Rattus norvegicus: one gene and its partner. The main gene of each other region encodes a partner of the protein of the gene in region 2 in a complex. Links are inferred from orthologs where the notes say so. Each region holds a gene or a part of one and is shown on either strand. Other genes may lie near its edges.

The links.
Region 1: the proteins of Lin52 (region 2) and Mybl2 are in contact, whole or in part, in a crystal structure (PDB 6C48), measured with the Homo sapiens proteins. The link is inferred for Rattus norvegicus from reciprocal best matches to the Homo sapiens genes LIN52 and MYBL2. Residues at the interface, in NP_001019845.2 of Homo sapiens: Gln84, Ala87, Tyr88, Gly91, Leu92, Glu94, Ser95, Met98, Thr99, Lys102, Phe103, Leu107, Glu108, Lys109; in NP_002457.1 of Homo sapiens: Trp663, Val666, Ala667, Gly669, Thr671, Asp673, Gln674, Phe676, Lys680, Ala681, Gln683, Leu684.

Annotation. Positions count from the first base shown.
Region 1 is NC_086021.1:172,148,759-172,151,367, reverse strand, and holds part of Mybl2 (myb-related protein B), read right to left. Parts: intron 1,987-2,609; coding exon 1,882-1,986; intron 341-1,881; coding exon 191-340; intron 1-190. UniProt on the Homo sapiens protein: Transcription factor involved in the regulation of cell survival, proliferation, and differentiation. Transactivates the expression of the CLU gene.
Region 2 is NC_086024.1:109,828,889-109,833,114, forward strand, and holds the start of Lin52 (protein lin-52 homolog), read left to right. Parts: upstream 1-1,360; 5' UTR 1,361-1,367; coding exon of another isoform or gene 1,368-1,379; coding exon 1,380-1,398; intron 1,399-4,226. Other genes in the region: Aldh6a1 (methylmalonate-semialdehyde/malonate-semialdehyde dehydrogenase [acylating], mitochondrial precursor), read right to left, coding at 743-793.

The sequences.
Region 1 (2,609 bases), on a different chromosome or scaffold from region 2:
AAGTCTGGGCCTCAGGAAGGAAATGAGGCTGGGGGCATCTCTCCAGTGAGGTCAGGAATGGCTTCCTGTAGGAAGTTGCATCTGCGCTATGGTAACTGTTTAAGTCAATCAGCCAAGCAGCCGGGAACTCAGCAGAAAGCAGGCCCTGGGGGTGAAAGGATGGGCAGAAGGACCTATCTACTGCACTCACAGGAGCAGGGGCTGGAATGTGGCTCCGGGGCTTCTGGGTGGCCACCACCTTCTCGGGTTTGGCCTGTAGGAAGCCCTGGTTGAGCAGGCTGTTATCCTCCTTGATACCCGGCAAGATGAAGCCAGAGGAGCTGGATGGGACACTGGTTGGCTGGAATCAAAACCGAGATAGTCACCACTTTGTCGGAGATCTTTGCAAGGAGAGGAAAACACAACAAACCAACACACCCTGACACCACCCCGGGCTGCCGCCATCCGGAGCAGGATGTACCTCTCTAAGCCTCAGTTCCCTTTCCGACATGGAAGTTTAGATGAGCTCCCTTAATCTTCTTGCTTAAAGGATTAAGGGAGTATCTGAACTGTTCATTTCAGAGCCCAGCGATGCCAGCTCCTATGCCGGAGGATCAGGCTTCCTGGTCTAGAAATCCCGTAAGCATCAAGTGGGGGAGGACATGGACCCAGAAGGCGCTCCCTGCTCTGCTCAGTGCTCCCTTCCTAATGTCCCACTTGGGGCTGGGGCACAGGCTAATTACTTCCCACACCCATCTCCACAGCAGAGCTCACACCCAGAGTGAGAGGGTGAGGCCCTGGGCTCAACCCCCAGTACTGCTTTAAAAAAAAAAACTTCGAGTAGAGGTAGCCAAAAATGTCTGAGGCTTCCCGGGACAAAAGCTTTTCTAGAAGGACACGGGACACAGCCTTACTTGTAAGATCTCTTTAGCAGTTCATGTCCTTTGATAATGTTCCCCACCCCCTCCTCACAGCTTCTCTATTGGTGCCAGGTCCAAAAGAAACTCCAATCCCCCAAACTCCAAGACAGCTCAACCTGGTCTACAGAAGGATTCCTGGCAGTTAGGTAAGAGCCCGGCATTCCTTAGGAACTTGTGAAGCCGGTTCCACTCTACCAAAAGGAGTCTTTTTCCGTCCCTCTGGCAGAAGGGACAGATAGGCACCGTACCTATCAGTCTATGATGGCCTCCAGGCTCCCTCAGCATCTCAAGTACCTGTCACACATTCCAAAGCCCACCCAGTCCTTATCTCCCCCTCCCCTAAACTCCTCCAGCTCCCTCCTAGCAGCTTCTCCTCCTTAGAGCCCTGATACCCTCACCATGGTTTCTCTGTTCTCTTCAGCTGCCATTCTCCCCACACTCACAGAGCTAGAGGCCCTGGCCATGTCTAGTCTGCTGTCCATGCTCAGTCTGCTTTCTCTGCTCTGGACTCCAGATGCCTCTCAGGGCTGCTCTCTATCTCATAAAACCTCCCCATAACCATATCACAGTCCGGCCACGTCATCGGTTCAGTCAAGCCAGGTCACCTCCCATCAGCTGCAAGGGACCAGTGTCCCCCACAGCATCTGGACTCTTAACGGCAGTGACTCTGTACCTGGAAGAACAAGGCTGGCCCACAGACCAGACAGACAGTAGCCACTTGGGGTTATGCCTCAACCGCAGGCTGTGCTTGGGGGCACAGATGGGTGACCCTTAGTGAGAAGAGTGGTGCTGGGGGCCCATAGCATTCTATCAATAAAACTACTGCCAAATAAAACCTAGGAAAGAAATCAGGCTTAGTGCCAACACTGAGCCCAGCTGGAGAACAAGAACCCACTCCAACTAAAGTGTCCTCTCCATGACCAGACAGCTCCAAAGACAGAAGGTTCCTGAAGATCTGAAGCAGGTGCTGTCAGCCCCTTACCAAGGACAGAGTCTTGGGCGAGGTCGATGACATCATCTTCCCATCCTCATCCACAATGTCAAGAGCCAGAGACTTCCGAACCTTCTTGATAGGGCTTCGCCGGAGCTGAGGGTTAGGAAGAAAACGGACGGTCAGCGTCAGCCATCAGGTCCCCATGGCCAGCGCCTCAGTGAATTAAGAGTGGAACTTTCAAGGCCTAGCTAGCAGCTCTTGCTCCAGGGATAGGGGAAGACCAGGAGCCCTTGGCCACACTAGATCCTGACCCAGATGAACTTTACCCTGCCAGACACTGGGGATCTCCCCAGCCTCACTGTCTATCCTTAGAGCAGTCTAGAAAAAAGAGGTAAAGAAACAAGGAGAGAGTTCAAGTGCCACCTGTGGCTAGAGACAGTGTAAGGAAAGAAGCTCACCCTGAGTCTGGGGCCTCCCCCACCACCCAGCAGCCTGTGAATCACACCTCACTCAATGACACCCTGTGCTATTTTCATGGCCGAGGGAGGCCCTCGCTCCTGAAAGGAACCCTTGGGATCTGTCCTGTCTACTGCCTTTCCTCCCACATGGATTCAGCCAGCCATGAAATAAAGTGTGCTGTATGCCATTCTCTGTCCACTGAGCACCGAGAGTCTCACCTAACCACTACTGCACCCACCACAGACAACCAAGCTCATGTCAGGACGCCCAGTCACAACGCTGGAAGAAAGGCTGCATCATTCACAGTACGGAAGGAC
Region 2 (4,226 bases):
GTGGAGGGTGTGTTGGCACTTGAGAACTGACTCTGGGAACGTGTCTTCCTAGGGTCTCATCTTCTACCACCTGTTTGGGGAATGTTTAGTAGCGTTAGCAAAACAATAACGCCCTTATTTATCTCGAAAGTTTAACTTCGCTGAGAAAGTTTAACTTGGCCCAGAGCTTGGGAAAAAAACACTAAGGGCCAGAATAGTTGGTAAACGCTAGCAAATGGCTGCCTTTGATGTGAAAAGCCAGGGTACATGTCTAGAGATTCAAAGTTTCTTCTCTGACCCTTGTTCCATGTTCCTACCCCCTCTTACCTCACATAGAGGCTGGATGGGGGAAGGGACGCTCCTGGCAAAGGAAAGTATTCTATAAACAGTAACCAAAAGGAGTTTCTGGGGCCCAGAGGTGGCTGGCACAGAGGTGAAAGGGAGTCCGTGGGAGGAACCAATGAGAGAAAGCAAGCCCGCGGGTGATAGCAAAGACTGAGCTGGACTGAAGGTGGGTGGGTCAGAGCTAGAAAAGGAAAGGATCAGGAGTAAAAGTGGGGTGGGCCAGGCGTGACCGTCCGGGGCTGGATTCCCGGGCCAGGCAATACGGAGTGACAGCTCAAACACACGGGTCTGGTGGAACACAAGGGTCTGCAAAGAAGGGTCTGGGCCAAGAAATCTGTCCAGCAGAAGCATGGTTTAGAGACCGGGCGGAAAGGACCCATTTCTAACGTCATGGTCCCTCGTCGCCACCCTCACTCGCCTGCAGGATCCGGGACCGCACTGCTGCTGCTGCCGCCACTGCCGCCGCCATGGCTCACCAGACTCTGCCCAGCTCCCCGCGCCTCCGCTGCCAGTGCCTCCCTAGAAGCTACAGCGCTAAGCTACGCCCCGAACACAACCTAGCCTCTCCATTGGAGGGAAGGGGCACTTTTCATAACCAATCATGTGTCAGGATTCTTGACTCCACCCATCACTCCCAGCCTTGGGGATAGGTGATTGGTCAAAGGCGGAAGCGTTTTCCTCTTCTCTGACTTCAGCCTATTTTTGTTGGCGGAGATAGGGAGACGCCCCCTAGACTTGGTACTGCATATTAAGCACACGGGGAAGACGCCCCCTAACCGAGAACTCCGATTGGCTATAGGTAGGCCCTCAAGGTCCCGCCCCTTTGCTAAGGAAAGTAAATAAAGTCCTTGAAGAATTTTGCCTGAGTTTCACCTTAACTACCACTCGCGGGTAGGGCTGCTGTCTAGGGTGGGACTAGGCAAATATTACCCTATGAGATAGGGAAACGAGACCGGGCTGTGAGTTAAGGATAGGTTACCCCTGTAAGGGGCGTGGCTTGCGGATCCTCGCTTTCCCGCCGACGGTTGGCCACGTCACGTGACATGGGCTGGAAGATGGCGTCTCCCACAGACGGTAAGAGCCGGCTTGGAAATTGTTGGCCTGTAGTCTCATTATTTGCTCCTCTGGGAACTTCCACAGCCTTCACGCTTACGCTTTTTTTCTTGGGCCCCTCTTCCTTCTCTCCCACTTCTCTTCTTTGGGCTGTGTCGGCTTTTCAGCTAGCAGGTGCCTGGTACCAGGTCTCCCCGCTGTGTACTAGGTAGGTGAAGGAGGCCACCAACCGGTGAGACCCTATCCGGGAAAAGGACAGAGGTCGCTCCGGCCCATCGGTGATGCTGAGGGGAAAGGGAGGGAACTTTCTTTTTGAACAGGCCCATTGGAGTGTTGGTTCTGTTCTCAGTAGAGCTGAGACGAGTCTCTCAAGCTCTATAGCTTTGAGTGGTGACTGACATGAGGTCTAGGGTTCATCCCTGTACCAAGCCGGGAGAGAAGGATGCTTGTCCCCTCAGTTCAGGACCGTTGCCTTGGCAGCAGGGAACCGGGGACCTGGTTTCCTTACCCTGATTCCCGAGGGAATGAAAATTAGCCTTGTTAATGTAGTTTCGCACGCTTCTCAACCCTTAAACCATCACTCCCTCTACTTCATGTGTTGTTTCCTTAGACTGAGGGCAGGAACAATTCTGCTTGTATTTCGTCTCAGGTGGTAAATAGGTGTTTTCGTTATACCCGTATGCTTTTGCTCGCGGTTCTGCTTTAGCATTTGGAATTCTCTTCTGTCATTACTCAGTATCTCAGTATATTCCTTGTCTATTAACTTTGCCCGGGCCACACCCAATTATAAATTCCAAGTCTGTCTTATTTCATACGTTTAATCCTAGGTTCTAGAATAATGCCTGTAAAGCATTTGGCCATAAATAAGTTAACGTTCATCCAAAAGTGAAACTGGCCTTGGTATGTGACCCCTAATTTTAGCTACTTGGTAGATTGAGGCAGGAGGATTGTTGCTTCAGGCTTGTCTAGGCTGCAGAATGAATTGTAGGCAAAATGTGTCTCAAATACAAAGTTGGGGTTTAGTTGGCAGTTGTTGGGTTTTGTTTTATTTTATTTTTTAACCCTAGACAAGGTTTCTCTGTGTAGTCCTGGCACTTGCTCTTTATACAAAGCTGGCCTCGAACTCAGAGCTCCTCCTATCTCTGCCTCCCAAATGCTAGAGTTAAAGGCACAAACCACCACCACCCACCTTCAAATAAAAAGTTTTCTTTTAAAAAGTAAGGGAAGAGTGGCTGGAGAGATGGCTCAGCGGTTAAGAGCACTGACTGCTCTTTCAGAGGTCCTGAGTTCAATTTCCAGTAACCACATGGTGGCTCCCAACCATCTGTAATGAAATCTGGTGCCCTCTTCTGGTGTGCGGGGGTACATGCAGGCAGAACAGTGTATAGGTAATAAATCTTTTTAAAAATGTGAGGATACAGGGGGCTGGAGAGATAGCTCTCAGTGGTTAAGAGTACCTGGTGCTTTTGCAAAAGACCTGGATTCTTTTTTTTTTTTTTAAGGTTTATTTATCTAATGTATATGAGTACTTTATACACCGTAGCTGTCCTCAGACACACCAGAAGAGGGCTCCCATTACAGATGGTTGTGAGCCACCATGTAGTTGCTGGGAATTGAACTCAGGACCTCTGGAAGAGCAGCCAGTGCTCTAAACCACTGAGCTATATCTCTCTAGCCCCAAGACCTGGATTCTATTCCCAGTATCTACATGGCAACTCACAACTGTGACTCTGACCTCCATGGACATCAGGTATGCATGTGCTCCACATATATACTGTGCAGACAAACAGTCATACACATAAATAAATCTAAAAATGAAAAATAAAAAGTAGGGATGTAGTTCAGTGGTAGAGAGCTTGCTTATCATGAACAAGGCAATAGGTTCAGTCTTTAGTACTAAAAAGCATGACTAGATTATATTAAAAATAATGTTACCAGATCTCCCTCCTTTCTTCCTTCTTTCCTTTTTTGAGATAGGGTCTGACTGTATGGCCCAGATTGGCTTCAGACTCACCATCTTCTTGCTTTCCTACCTGTGCTTCCAGTATGCTGGGATTAAAAGTGTACCACTCGGTAGGGCACTTGCCTAGCAAGCGCAAGGCCCTGGGTTCGGTCCCCAGCTCTGAAAAAAAGAAAAAAAAGAAAAAAAAATGTACCACTATGCCTGGCCTCTTACTTGATTTCGAAGTTTCAGGTTTAACTGCATTTTAAGTTTTGAACACATTCACATACCTTAAGGAACTGTGTTCATAATAAAAGAGATTCTCTAGCATGTGTGATTTTTTTTTTCCCCCTAAAACATCCTTTTCTTACTAGCAAAAAAAAAAGTGTTGGTAGGATTTTTGTCGGTTTTTTTTGTTTTGTTTTGTTTTGTTTTTTTTAAATTGAGGTTCATCTTGGTGTCTGTGGAGGTCTACTGAGAACAAGACTTCTAAAAGGTAGGGTCTGGAAGGATGTGGTGCAAGGCCAGTTTTGCTAGATGTGTGAGGTCTCTAGAATCAAAGAGAGCATATAGCTCTTCTTCAAATCCAGGGTGGTTTTATCTGAGATGATACTAAATTCGACTAAGGCAGGAGATGTGCTTATGTGTATAAAAAGTTCACACAGTGACTCCCAGAGGCAAAACTAAACAAGCAGAGTAATCTGGGGAGAAGTAAGTGGGGCCTGTAGAAATGGTGGCAGCCATTGTGTAAATGCCAGTGGATGCAGAATTTATGGAATGCTAGACCCTACACAAATCTAAACTAACGAAAAGTAAACAATTCAAAGAACTGAGGTTTGTGACATTGCAATTTCTTGAGATGGAGAGGGTTGGGAAAGTGGGGTTTGAACAGCAGTATTAAGGGGTT